Linked DNA regions of Macaca mulatta. The protein of the gene in region 2 interacts with the protein of the main gene of each other region in a biochemical or structural test. Links are inferred from orthologs where the notes say so. Each region holds a gene or a part of one and is shown on either strand. Other genes may lie near its edges.

Region 1 (7,419 bases), on a different chromosome or scaffold from region 2:
GCCACTGCACTCCAGCCTTGGCAACAGAGCAAGACTCAGTCTCAAAAAAACAAAAACCCACCAACCCCCCCCCCAAAAAAAATTAAAAAAAACTTCAATAGTGTCCCACTGTCAGAGAAATAAGTTAAAAACAATTAGCCTGGCCAGGCACAGTGGCTCACGCCTGTAATCCCAGCACTTTGGGAGACCAAGCGGGGACGAATCATGAGGTCAGGAGTTCAAGACCAGCCTGATCAACATAGTGAAACCGTGCCTCTACTAAAAATGCAAAAATTAGCCGGGCATGGTGGTGTGCCCATAGTCCCAGCTACTCTGGAGGCTGAGGCAGGAGAATCGCTTGAACACAGGAGGCGGAGGTTGCAGTGAGCCAAAACACTTATTAAGCTGTGTGGACCATGACGTTATTGCTGTCAGGAAATTTTTTTTAAAAGTTGTGTGGACTGGCTGGGCGCGGTGGCTCATGCCTGTAATCCCAGCACTTTGGGAGGCCAAGGTGGCTAGATAACCTGAGGTCAGGAGTTCGAGACCAGCCTGCACAATCTGGTGAAATCCCATCTTCACTAAAAATACAAAAATTAGCTAGGCATGATGGGGAGCGCCTATAATCCCAGCTACTCAGGAGTCTGAGGCAGGAGAATCACTTGAACCCGGGAGGCGGTGGTTGTAGTAAGCCAAGGTTGCGCCACTGCACTCCAGCCTAGGCAACAGGGTGAGACTCCGTCTCGGGAAAAAAAAAAAAAGCCTGACATTCAGTGCCACCATTATTTCGTTGTGACCTACCTTTTTTTTTTTTTTTTGACACAGAGTCTCACTCTGTTACCCAGGCTGGAGTACAGCGGTACAATCTAGACTCGCTGCAACCTGCGTCTCCTGGGTTCATGAGATTCTCCCACCTAAGACTCCTGAGTAGCTGGGATTATAGGCGCACCATGCCCAGCTAATTTTTGTATTTTTAGTAGAGATGCGGTTTCACCATCTTGGACAGGCTGGTTTCAAACTCCTGGCCTCAAGTGATCTGCCTGCATCGGCCTCTCAAAGTGCTGGATTACAGGCATGAGCCACCGTGCCCGGCCATGACCTACCTTCTTGAACATATCTTGAATTTACTCCCTTACACTCTGGACTACTTAGGCTAGAGATTGGCAAACTACAGCCTGCACACCAAATCCGGCCCCCCTGTCAGTTTTCGTCTGATGTAAGAGTTACAGTTTTCACTTTATTTATCTATTTAGAGACGGAGTCTCGCTCTGTTGCCCAGGCTGGAGTGCAGTGGCGCGATCTTGGCTCACGACAACCTCTGCCTCCCCTGTTCAAGCGATTCTCCTGCCTCACCCTCCAGAGTAGCTGGGACTAATAGGCACACCAAGCACACCCAGCTAATTTTTGTATTTTTAGTAGATACGGGGTTTCACTATGTTGGTCAGGATGGTCCCCTCTCTCTTGACCTTGTGATCCACCTGCCTTAGTGTCCCAAAGTGTTGGGATTACAGGCCTGAGCCACGGCGCCCGGCCTAATTTTTATTTATTTATTTTTTTGAGACGAAGTCTCCCTCTGTCGCCCAGGCTGGAGTGCAATGGAAGACTCTTAGCTCACTGCACCCCCCGCCTCCTGGGTTCAAGCGATTCTCCTGCCTCAGCCTCTGGAGTAGCTGGGATTACAAACGCCCACCACCACGCCCTCTTAATTTTTTCCCCCCATACAGAGTCTTGCTCTGTTTCCAGGCTGGAGTGCAGTGGCGCGATCAGCTCACTGCAATCTCTGCCTCCCGGGTTCAAGCAATTCTCCTGCCTCAACCTCCCGAGTAGCTGGGATTACCAGCACCCACCACCACACCCGGCTAATTTTTTTTTTTTTTTTTTTTTTTGAGGCGGAGTCTCGCTCTGCCGCCCAGGCTGGAGTGCAGTGGCTCGATCGATCTCGGCTCACTGCAAGCTCCGCCTCCCGGGTTCCCGCCATTCTCCTGCCTCAGCCTCCCGAGTAGCTGGGACTACAGGCGCCCGCCACCTCGCCCGGCTAATTTTTTGTATTTTTAGTAGAGACGGGGTTTCACTGTGTTAGCCACGACGGTCTTGATTTCCTGACCTCGTGATGCGCCCATCTCGGCCTCCCAAAGTGCTGGGATTACAGGCTTGAGCCACCGCGCCCGGCCCTAATTTTTGTATTTTTAGTAGAGATGGGGTTTCACCACGTTGGCCAGTCTGATCTCAAACTCCTGACCTCGTGATCCGCCTGCCTCGGCCTCCCAAGGTGCTGGGATTACAGGCGTGAGCCACCGCGCCAGGCCAACTTCCCTTTTTTTTTTTTTTTTTTTTTTTTTGAGACAGGGTCTCACTCTGTCGCCCAGGTTAGAGTGCTCCCTGCAACGTCCACCTCCTGGGTTCGAGCTATCCTCCCGCCTCATACTCCCTAGTATTTGGCATTACAGGCGCGTGCCACCACGCCCTGCTAATTAGTAATTTCAGTAGAGATGGGGTTTCACCATGTTGGGCAGGTGAAACTCCTGACCTCAGGTGATCCGCCCACCTCAAGCTTCCCAAAGTACTGGGATTACAGGCGTGAGCTATGGGCGCCCGGTCCAAAATGGCATTTGAGCTAGGGTCCAGTTTTCGTAGCTCCCACTACCTGTCGTGCACAACATAGACACTAAATACCTTATTGCTTATTATGAAGCCCCGTTCTTCAGAAACGTTTTATAGCACTTTCGTTAAACCTCCTTCCTGTTCATAATGCAGTGCACTAGAGTATTTTTCCCATACTCCACCGTTAAGTGGCCTCTTGGTAAGCAGGACTGTTTTGGGTCTCTTGGTTACTATCCCCTAATACACCCTATTAGTGTGTTGCACGAAGCGACGGGGAACCCGTTCTCCCCCAAATGATGTGCGTGGAGACACCCAATGTCCTAGCCTCTCCATTCCCAGAAACCTAAGACTCTCCCACCAAATATCCTTCCTGTCTCATCTACAGCACTGAGGTCTCAAGGTAGGGGCAAAAGCCCGCCCCAAATGGCAAATGCTCCTCCTCCGCCAAGAACCTCCAATTTCCGCTGTCCCTAGACAGAGCCTCCAACCTTCAGAAAAATGGCGAGGTAGACCCAGGCCCTTGATTCTGAAGTGAGCCCTTTTCCACAGCACAGCCTTTTCACAGGTTTTTGTGGTGGAATGATTCCTCAGTGAACTGATTTACTCCCTCAAGAGTAACCAACGCTCCATTTTAGTTCTATAGGATCCTGACTCCGTGTCCCTCCGCCTCGGCCTTGCCTCCCACTGCCAACGCAGCCGTTTCTCAGAGAAATCGCCCAAGGCGCATGGCCGGGCAGTTGGGACACCAACGGTTTTCTAACGCGAGAGGACAGCGAGGGAGGAGAGGCGGGAACGCGTAGCGACTAGCAGGGGGCGGGGTGGGGGTGGGGTGGCGGACGAAGGGCGGGGCCGACGCCAGGAAGGATCGCGAAGGAGCTGGGAAGCCCCGCCCTTTCCGTAGATATCTCTAGAAAGCCGCGCCGGACCCCGAAAACAAGGACTGCGCACGCGCGGCGGTAAGGCCCGGGCATTTTGCTGCGTCACCAGCCGCCGCCCGGCCTCACCACCCCTCGTTTGCACGCACGCACGTTCATTCTCCGTCCTCGCGCCCGTTTTCCTACACTTTCCTCTTCTCCCCGACCGGAGGAGCCGCTCTTTCCGCGCGGTGCATTCTGGGGACCGAGGTCGAGCCCGCCGCTGCCGCCGTCGCCTGAGGGAAGCGAGAAGAGGCCGCGACCGGGGAGAAAACGCGGAGTCGCCACTGGAGAGAAGTCGACTCCCTAGCAGCAGCCACCGCCAGAGAGGCCCGCCCACCCGTTCGCCCGTCCCCCTGCCCCGTTCACAATGTGAGTGCGACACCCCGCCGAGGGAAGGTCGCCCAGAGTGAGGCCGAGGCCGCGTTGGGGGCTCCCTGGAAGCGGCCCTTGCCCTCCCTCTGCTTTTGGCCCCATAGCCTTTCTCGCATCGGTGGTGGCAGTCGTTCCTGCCTGGGGGCGGGAGGTCCAGGATCCTTGTTCCGGTTACCGTTGGCGGGTGGAGGACATTTTTCCTCCAGATGTCTGCTTCCCCCACCCCTGAAACGTCCCTTGGCTTCCCTATACCGGAAATCCTACTTTTTCCCTCTTTGGCTGTCTGGGCTACTGGCTTCCTTAGGTAACTTCACCTTAGGCCTTAAGCTCCCCGGAGCTGCTCGCCATGCGGCGCCGTGAAGCGTGAACCCTCGTGGGTCGCCTCGGCTGCTTGGGCGCTCCGGTTCTGCTGCTTTGTGGTCCCCGGGCCAGGCCCTGAGTCGAGTGCACCTGTGGTGGGTGCCGCCAGTTGCCTGGCGGAGCTCCTGGGAGAGCCCCACGCGGGCCTAGCCGTGAGCGGCAGGTACTGCTAGGCAACTAGAGTGAAGCCATGCCCACGCCGCAACATACTTCTCTCTCCAGTGTCTGGGTTTCTTGAGTGTGGGTACTTGAAGTCCGCCTCGTAACTCCAGTCTCTTGAAAACACGGGAGGTTGCCAAAACTCAGCCGCTTCCCTGGCAGCGAGGAGGAGTTACCGTTGAGCAGGTAGTTCTGCACGTGTCTGCTTTGGAAAGACACGGACATTTTCTGTGTTCCATGTTAAACCTGAGGTGAGGTTTCACTATCCTGTAACTGTGGGGTGAAATATGTATGTAATAGGCGTGTAATTAACCTACTGTTGTCCTAAAGAGTTTAAATTTGTGTTGAGATTCTATGGTAGTCTTCATTTTATGATGATAAAGGAAACCTCGGCGATTTTAACCGAGTAAGAATTCTTGGCACTGCCACGTACAGTGGGAACTGCCGGTTTTACAGGGTTTTGTTTTAGTTTTTGGTTTTTTTTTGACGGGAGGTTATTTTTTAAGGTACTAACTGCGTCCTAAAAGGTATGGAGAGCAATTAAGGGGGAACCTTTTTTTAAAAAATATTCCATTCAGAAGAGATGAGAGGGAGTGACTTTGTGGAAAAGTAAGAAGGGTTTGCTTGATTCAAAGTCATGATACTGACGGCTAGAAATCTAAAGGAATGAGTGAGGGATACACTGAAGCGAAGTTTATCACTGGAAACAAGCTTCTAGAGCACAGCATGTTAGAATTTTTGAGGGAGCCCCCTCCCCGAGAGTGATACGTAATCGGGGTTTTTAAAAGTTTGAATCAGGCTGGGCGCGGTGGCTCACACCTGTAATCCCAGCACTTTAAGAGGCCGAGGTGGGCGGATCACCTGAGGTCGGGAGTTCGAGACCAGCCTGACCAACATGGAGAAACCCCGTCGCTACAAAAATACAAATATTAGCCGGGCGTGGTGGCACATGCCTGTAATCCCAGCTACTCGGGAGGCTGAGGTAGGAGAATCGTTTGAAACAGGGAGGCAGAGGTTGTGGTGAGCCGAGATCTTGCCATTGCACTCCAGCCTGGACAACAAGAGTAAAACTCCGTCTCAAAAAAAAAAGTATATAAAATAGCTTTTGTTTTTCCCTTTGAAATCTCTCATAAGTAATGTAGAAGGGACATCAGTCTTAACCTTTCATACTCTGAAAATCTGTAAGGGAAAATTTTTGTCAGATAAGGCATTAAGCAGCTTTTAATAATAGAGCCAAACAACATATCTTTTCGTGAAAAATGTTTAAAATGGGCTCGAAGTAGAAGCACTTTCTGGAGGGCACATGAGATATCTAAATAGGTAAGGAACGGCTAAGTTAGGAAAGTAAATTTAAAAACTTGGGTGAAAAGTGTAAGGCCAGGCGCGGTGGCTCACGCCTGTAATCCCAATACTTGGGAGGCTGAGGCAGGTGGATCACGAGGTCAGGAGTTAGAGACCAGCTTGGCCAATATGGTGAAACCCCGTTTCTACTAAAAATACAAAAACTAGCCGGGCGTGGTGGTGCACTCCTGTAGTCCCAGCTATTCGGGAGGCTGAGGCAGGAGAATCGCTTGAACCCAGGAGTCGAAGGTTTTAGTGAGCCGAGATTGCGCCACTGTACTCCAGCCTGGGCAATAGAGGGAGACTCCGTCTCAAAAAAAGTAAGTGTAGCAGTAGAGAGACAATTCCAAAAAGCAGCCTCTCTAGTTAAAAAAAAAAAAATGGTACCTTCATGCCGGGCGCGGGGGCTCACGCCTGTAATCCCAGCACTTTGGGAGGCCAATGCGGGCGGATCACGAGGTCGTGAGATCAAGACCATCCTGGCTAACACGGTGAAACCCCGTCTTTACTAAAAATACAAAAAATTAGTCAGGCGTGGTCGCAGGCGCCTGTGGTCCCAGTTGCTGGAAGCCTGAGGCAGGAGAATGTCGTGAACCCGAGAGGTGGAGCTTGCAGGGGGGATCGCGCCTCTGCACTCCAGCCTGGGCCACACAGTGAGACTGTCTCAAAAAAAAAAAAAAAAAAAGCTACCTTTAAAACGAGTGATGCGGCCGGGCGCGGTGGCTCACGCCTGTAATCCCAGCACTTTGGGAGGCCGAGGCGGGCGGATCACAAGGTCAGGAGATCGAGACCACGGTGAAACCCCGTCTCTACTAAAAATACAAAAAAATTAGCCGGGCGCGGTTGTGGGCGCCTGTAGTCCCAGCTACTCAAGAGGCTGAAGCAGGAGAATGGCGTGAACCCGGGAGGGGAAGCTCGCGGTAAGCCTGGGGGACACAGCCAGACTCCGTCTCAAAAAAAAAAAAGTGTTTTGAAGAGACCAGCTAAAATATTATTTTAAAAATATTCAATATATTCCATTTAGTAAATTCTTCAGGGACTCTTACCAAGCTAAAGACTTAAATGAATTTACAAAATAAAAGTTGTAAGTCAGTTATTTGAGGTGGAAGAAGCTTTTAATGGGTCGTCATCCAGTCTTAAGAATCTGGCTGGTAAGGGCTTATTTCGTTGATAACTTGTTTTAAAAGTGTGGTAGTGTTTTGTTTTGTTTTTTTTTTGAGACAGGGTATTGGTCTGTTGCCCAGACTGGAGTGCAGTGTCGCGATCTCAGCTCACTGCAAACGGTACCTCGTGGGCTCAAGCGATCCTCCTTGCCTCAGTGTCCGGAGTAGCTGGGACTGCCGGCAAGCACCACCGTGCCTGGCTAATAAGAAAAATATTTTTTAAGCTCTGGGAAGAGATATATTTATGCTGGGTGCCTTAAGGGCTTGGGAGTGTGTTTTCTCATTTGATTTACCTATTTGCTCTTTAGCGATTTCGTAGTTACATTTCTTTAAATCTTAGGTTATAAAAGTTTGTCTGATAGTTTACATAAAAGCTCTTAATTTCGAACCTATCTTGGAGAAGGCTGGGATTTTAGGACCTTCCCCCACTTAAGATTTTCCGCTTAACCTTGCCAGAGGGTGCTACTTCGCATTTTTTGAATCATTGTCGTTGGACCAATTAAAAACAGATGAAAAGTAAAATGTTT
Region 2 (7,086 bases):
ATTCTCCTGCCTCAGCCTCCCGAGTAGCTGGGACTACAGGCGTCCGCCACATCGCCCGGCTAGTTTTTTGTATTTTTTTTTTTTGAGACGGAGTCTCGCTCTGTCGCCCAGGCTAGAATGCAGTGGCGCGATCTCGGCTCACTGCAAGCTCCGCCTCCCGGGTTCACGCCATTCTCCTGCCTCAGCCTCCCGAGTAGCTGGGACTACAGGTGCCCACAACCGCGCCCGGCTAATTTTTTGTATTTTTAGTAGAGACGGGGTTTCACCGTGGTCTCGATCTCCTGACCTTGTGATCCGCCCGCCTCGGCCTCCCAAAGTGCTGGGATTACAGGCGTGAGCCACCGCGCCCGCCGTATTTTTTTTTTTTTAGTAGAGACGGGGTTTCACCGTGTTAGCCAGGATGGTCTCGATCTCCTGACCTCGTGATCCACCCGTCTCGGCCTCCCAAAGTGCTGGGATTACAGGCTTGAGCCACCGCGCCCGGCCAATGTCCTGTTTATTAACGGAGGCGGGAGAGCTGGAAAGACAGGAAGTTGTGGAAGGAAGGAGGGACATTAAAGGTGGGGCCTGACGGGAAACAGTGGTTCCCAGTGATGCCCAGACCCAGGGAGGGGCTTTGGGGCAGGTTCACTGGAGAAACGGGGAAAAATGAAGGTCCCAAAAACAAAAGACAGACTGTCAGAGCTAGGGCCCGGGATGGCTCTTCTATAAGAAATCTCAAACCCCATTGGCAATGGCAGAAACTGCGGTAGGAAAAGTTCCAAGTGAGGAGAGTGGGGACAGTGGCTGGTGGTGACAGGAAGGAAACAGGCGGAGGAGGCACTCGCCAGGGAAGACCTTGCGCCCCTTCAGCGACCTGCTCACCGCCACGCCTGCTTCCGGATTCCTCCCCGCCGGTCCCGGCTGCAGTGTAGGGAAGGCCTGGGCCGGGGGCGCCCCCCAAGGCTGCGGAACAGCTATCACGGGAGCCGGCACACACCCAGTAACCACCGCTGGGGCCCGCGCCACGTGGCTGCTAGTTTCCATCCACCCCGCTTTGTAATGCTGGGCAAGACGCTTTATGTTGATTTCACACACTCTTAAAGGGTCCCAGGCCGCAGTCTGAAAACCCCTGCTCCTGAGTAAGTTGGTTTCCCTAGAGACCAGGAAGCGGAGGTAGTTCCGTCGTTTGTTTACACGGTAAGGAGCTTCCAGATTATTCCGAGGACCTGGCTATGAGTTTAGGCAGGAGGAGGCCCAATCATGGGAGGCGCCAGAGAGGAAGAGGACATGGACGAGGCATGGGAGCCAAGTCTAAGGAACCCCAACACCTCTAAGGTTCTCATAGCTGGCCTTGACCAAAATATCTGAAAATTCTCATGTAGAAACTGGTTCTTCCAGCCTGAGCAACATGGTGAAACCCCAACTATACAAATAAATACAAAAACTAGCCGGGTGTGGTGTCCGCGCTTGTGGTCCTCCGCCCGCGCTCGTCCCAGTTACTCGGAAAGCTGAAGTAGGAGGATCACCTGAGCCCGGGAGGTCGAAGCTGCGGTGAGCCAAGATTGTGCCACAGCACCCCAGCCTGGGCGACAGAGGGACAGCCTGTCCAAAAACAAAAAAACACCAAACCTGTCTTTTAGGGAAGGTTAATCACCAAAATGTCAAGTGTTAGATACTTAATTTGGAGACCTCAAATCGATCGGCAAAACGATGGGCTTTTAAAAAGCATGCCGGGTGTAGCTGGGTAAGCATGAATTTATTCACCAAGGGCCCGATTCCCAAGCTAAGGGACCCTGAAGTGTGAAGGACATGGCTTCCGGGGAACCCAAAGGTAGGGAGCGCTCCTGAGCCAGCAGTGGGTCTGGAGACTCCCCGAGCGCGCAGGCCGCGGGACGGCGTCCCCTGCGCGCAGCAGCTAGAAGCCAACAGCCCAAAGGCCCCCAGGGAGCAGAGCCCCGCGATCCCGGCGCCGCCTGCGGCTGGATTTTTTGGCAGCGGGCGCGCCGTCCGTGAGGATGACGGCTCCGGTAGTCTCCCGGGCGTGCGAGACCCGGGGCGCTCCCCGTCCACGCACGGCCCTCCCTCCAGGCGCGCCTCCCGCCCCAGCCCCGCATTCTGCGCAGCCCGGGTGACCAAACTACACCTCACTTCAAAGGCCCCCACGCCCGGGCGTGCCCTCCGCCCGCGCTCGGCAGGTGGGAGTGCAGGGAGGAGGGCGCGGGCGGCCCCAGAAGGCGCCCGGACCTTCCCGAGAATTCCAGGCCGCGCAGGCGCATTGAGGTCGGCGCGGGGGCGTGCGAGAGGCGCGGGGCGGTGATTGAGGGAAGGTTTCCCGGGCTGGGCCATGAGCAGGGCCTGCGCGCGCCAGCGGGAGGGGCGGGCCACGGCGAGGGCGCAGGCGCAGGCGCGCGGCCGCGGCGGCGGTTGGGGAGGGTTCTTCCGGAAGGTTCGGGAGGCTTCTGGAAAAAGCGCCGCGCGCTGGGCGGGCCCGTCGCTATATAAGGCAGGCGCGGGGGCGGCGCGTCAGTTGCTTCAGCGTCTTGGTGCTGCTGTGCCGTGGAACGTTTGCAGCCTTTTAGCCAAGGTGTGAGGGGCGGTTGTGGGGGCCTGTGGAGGTGGATTGGGGAGTGGGGGCGGTTGGCGCGGAGCGGAGGCTGTGGGGGCCGAACGGGAGCCCTGAACCCGCCAGGGCCGCTCTCCCGGGAGGCCGCGCTGCCTATTCCGGAGGCCGTGGGCCCGCTGCTGTCTCCGCAGCCCGCCTCAGGAATGGGCTGGGCGGCTGCTCCCCGAGTCTCCGCGGCAGCCCCGGAGCTGGCGCCGCACGCGAGCAGAGCGGCCCTTTGGCTGGGGGCCCCCCGGGCGGCCCAGCTGGGGCGCAGGCGGAGGAGGCCGCCCTGGCGGAGCCGCGGCCCGCGCGGGAGGGCACACGGGGTGTCGGTTGGGGACCGCGGCGCGGGACTGGGCCGGGCCTGCAGTGGCCTCCCGGAAGCGCGCACACGCTCGTGGTAGTTACCGCGCTCCGAAATGAGGTCATCCTTTGTCAGCCGCCCTTCTATTTTCGGTTTACTTAAACTTCGCAAATCTGCAATCCGGCTTTAAAAATATTGGGAGGACGCGATGGAATCTCGTGTTGCCCCTGTAGACGCCCTGCAGGGTTTTAAACCGGCGCGGTGTCGTTCCAGATGCCTGAGGAAACGCAGACCCAGGACCAACCGATGGAGGAGGAGGAGGTTGAGACGTTCGCCTTTCAGGCAGAAATTGCCCAGTTGATGTCATTGATTATCAATACTTTTTATTCGAACAAAGAGATCTTTCTAAGAGAGCTAATTTCAAATTCATCAGATGTAAGTCGTTTATTAACCCAGAATAGGATTTTGGTTTCAATATGAACTTCTTGGGGGCTGTATGCTTAATTAATATTTTGTGTTAATAGGCATTGGACAAAATCCGCTATGAGAGCTTGACGGATCCCAGTAAATTAGACTCTGGGAAAGAGCTGCATATTAACCTGATACCAAATAAACAAGATCGAACCCTCACTATTGTGGATACTGGAATTGGGATGACCAAGGCTGACTTGATCAATAACCTTGGTACTATCGCCAAGTCTGGGACCAAAGCGTTCATGGAAGCTTTGCAGGCTGGTGCAGATATCTCCATGATTGGCCAGTTCGGTGTTGGTTTTTATTCTGCTTATTTGGTTGCTGAGAAAGTAACTGTGATCACCAAACATAACGATGATGAGCAGTACGCCTGGGAGTCCTCAGCAGGGGGATCATTTACAGTGAGGACAGACACAGGTAGGTACCTGAACACTCACTGGTTAAGTCAGTGGCGGAATGGTGGGGTGTTGCAACCCTTGGACCCCTGGGGATGCGGCGAAGTTCACAGAAAGTGTGTTTACCCAAGGATCAGGAACAAGCTAGAGCTCTGAATTAGTGTGTAATGGCATGACTTGGTGATTACTTCTTTTGGGCAAGGCACTTAGATCTGCTGTGGGAGCCTTTGCATCTGTAGTAAGGGCAAACCTCGCTTCATAGACACGTTATAAGGGTTAAGCATGGCGTTGAGCACTAAATTGAATGTATTATTGAGTCAATTTTCCTTATTTCTCTTGCAGGTGAACCTATGGGTCGTGGAACAAAGGTTATCCTACACCTGAAAGAAGACCAAACTGAGTACTTGGAGGAACGAAGAATAAAGGAGATTGTGAAGAAACATTCTCAGTTTATTGGATATCCCATTACTCTTTTTGTAAGTTTCTACATAATTGCAGAGTGAATTACTGTCTGTAGGTGACTGGGGTGACTGTACTACATCCTTAGTTCCTAGGTCTGTTGAACTAGTTTGAAGCCTGGGGAACCTAAGCTCTACTAACTGTGAAGGTTCCTCGGGTTATTAAGTAGATATATCAAATATTGATGAGAAGCTGCCTGGCTGCTTCTCATCCTCGGTAATTTAGGCTTTGGCCTTAGGTTGAAAGTAGTGGGGCAGCGCTATGACTTAGTTCTAGAGTGCAGCAGTGATGCGATTTCATGTCTTTTGAAGGTGGAGAAGGAACGTGATAAAGAAGTCAGCGATGATGAGGCTGAAGAAAAAGAAGACAAAGAAGAAGAAAAAGAAAAAGAAGAGAAAGAGTCTGAAGACAAACCTGAAATTGAAGATGTTGGTTCTGATGAGGAAGAAGAAGAAAAGAAGGATGGTGACAAGAAGAAGAAAAAGAAGATTAAGGAGAAGTACATCGATCAAGAAGAACTCAACAAAACAAAGCCCATCTGGACCAGAAATCCCGACGATATTACTAATGAGGAGTATGGAGAATTCTACAAGAGCTTGACCAATGACTGGGAAGATCACTTGGCAGTGAAGGTGAGTGAGGGACTGATGGATGCTTCAAGCTTGTCTTTAGATTATCATCCCACCACCCCAAATATCTGCTATAATGCATTGTTCATTGATACTTAGTGTGTTTGTTCTATTACAGCATTTTTCAGTTGAAGGGCAGTTGGAATTCAGAGCCCTTCTATTTGTCCCACGACGTGCTCCTTTTGACCTGTTTGAAAACAGAAAGAAAAAGAACAACATCAAATTGTATGTACGCAGAGTTTTCATCATGGATAACTGTGAGGAGCTAATCCCTGAATATCTGAGTAAGTATAGATAGGAAAAATAATCACTGTCACTGATTAAAGAAATACTTCTGGCTGGGCATGGTGGCTCACACCTGTAATCCTAGCAGTTTGGGAACCCGGGGTGTGCGGATCACTTGAGGTCAGGAGTTCAAGACAAGCCTGGCCAACATGGTGAAACTCCATCTCTCCTGAAATTAGAAAAATTTGCCCGATGTGGTGGCAGGCTGAGGCATGAAAATAGCTTGAAAACCCCCCTGGGAGGCAGAGGTTGCTGTGAGCGGAGATTGCACCACTGCCTTCCAGCCTGGGCAACAGAGTGAGACACTGTCTCAAAAATAATCTCCTATCATCTCCAGGTTCTTGTCTTTGCTTTTGGGGGTTTACATAGTACCAGTTTTGTCCTTGGAATGACTCAGTGCATTTGATTTTTATATTTTTTTCAGACTTCATTAGAGGGGTGGTAGACTCAGAGGATCTCCCTCTAAATATATCCCGTGAGATGTTGCAGCAAAGCAAAATTTTGAAAGTTATCAGGAAGAATTTGGTCAAAAAATGCTTAGAACTCTTTACTGAACTGGCGGAAGATAAAGAGAACTACAAGAAGTTCTATGAGCAGTTCTCTAAAAACATAAAGGTTGGTGTAAATATTTGACCATTGGTAGTTTTCCTGCTGGCCTCTTTTTAGATTTCTTTTTGAATTCAGAGAGTCTTTAGTAAAGAACATACTTTGTTTTAGCTTGGAATACATGAAGACTCACAAAATCGGAAGAAGCTTTCAGAGCTGTTAAGGTACTACACATCTGCCTCTGGCGATGAGATGGTTTCTCTCAAGGATTACTGCACCAGAATGAAGGAAAACCAGAAACATATCTATTATATCACAGGTAGGGGGACGCTATGTTACAGTCATATACGTCGTTCTTATAACCTTGTAGGCTCTGTGGGTGTGTTTTCTACTCAGGTAGCACTGTTATAACTGGCGTTGATCTAGGCAAGATAATTAACATGAACTAGGTCATTATTTGTCTTAGGTTCTGCCTAGGTATCTGGCTAGCAAAAGTTAGAAGTAGATGAAGCCATTCTTACTGTTAAAAGGTCTAAAAGTAACTTTGTAATACCTCAGGTGAGACCAAGGACCAGGTAGCTAACTCAGCCTTTGTGGAACGTCTTCGGAAACATGGCTTAGAAGTGATCTATATGATCGAGCCCATTGATGAGTACTGTGTCCAACAGCTAAAAGAATTTGAGGGGAAGACATTAGTGTCAGTCACCAAAGAGGGCTTGGAACTTCCAGAGGATGAAGAAGAGAAAAAGAAACAGGAAGAGAAAAAAACAAAGTTTGAGAACCTCTGCAAAATCATGAAAGACATACTGGAGAAAAAAGTTGAAAAGGTATGTGAATACAGCATTTCCTGATCATTGATACCTCTAAGGTGTTTTCAAGCTTAGTCATACATGACCCATTTTTCTTTGCTTTCAACTTAAAATAGAAAACTATGTCGTGTATGGTTGGGCGTGGTGGCTCACGCCTGTAATCCCAGCACTTTGGGAGGCTGAGGCAGTGGATCACAAGGTCAGGAGATGGAGACCATCCTGGCTAACACGATGAAACCCCGTCTCTACTAAAAATACAAAAAAATTAACCAGGCGTGGTGGCGGGCGTCTGGAGGCTGAGGCAGGAGAATCTCCTGAACCCGCAAGGCAGAGGTTGCAGTAAGCCAAGATTGCACCACTGCACCTCCAGCCTGGGTGACCAAGCAAGACTATCTCGGGGGAAAAAAAAGGTGGTGTACGTAAAACGAAATTAATTATAATCTGTGCTCTTTGACTACCTAATGCAACATTTAAGTTCTATTTAATAGTATTTCGGATCTATTGTTTGGGTTCTTCAGATTTCATTTGACAATGAAAGTTTAGGGTTTAATCTTTCTAGGCTCCTAGTCATCACTTCTTGATTACAGGTGGTTGTGTC

The links.
Region 1: the proteins of HSP90AA1 (region 2) and PTGES3 form a complex in vitro, tested with the Homo sapiens proteins (10 studies listed by BioGRID). The link is inferred for Macaca mulatta from reciprocal best matches to the Homo sapiens genes HSP90AA1 and PTGES3.

Annotation. Positions count from the first base shown.
Region 1 is NC_133416.1:63,859,569-63,866,987, reverse strand, and holds the start of PTGES3 (prostaglandin E synthase 3), read left to right. Parts: upstream 1-3,615; 5' UTR 3,616-3,864; coding exon 3,865-3,866; intron 3,867-7,419. UniProt on the Homo sapiens protein: Cytosolic prostaglandin synthase that catalyzes the oxidoreduction of prostaglandin endoperoxide H2 (PGH2) to prostaglandin E2 (PGE2).
Region 2 is NC_133412.1:175,435,930-175,443,015, reverse strand, and holds the start of HSP90AA1 (heat shock protein HSP 90-alpha), read left to right. Parts: upstream 1-2,507; 5' UTR 2,508-2,566; intron 2,567-3,164; coding exon 3,165-3,326; intron 3,327-3,415; coding exon 3,416-3,782; intron 3,783-4,102; coding exon 4,103-4,236; intron 4,237-4,530; coding exon 4,531-4,851; intron 4,852-4,966; coding exon 4,967-5,132; intron 5,133-5,557; coding exon 5,558-5,748; intron 5,749-5,850; coding exon 5,851-5,998; intron 5,999-6,237; coding exon 6,238-6,506; intron 6,507-7,075; coding exon 7,076-7,086. UniProt on the Homo sapiens protein: Molecular chaperone that promotes the maturation, structural maintenance and proper regulation of specific target proteins involved for instance in cell cycle control and signal transduction.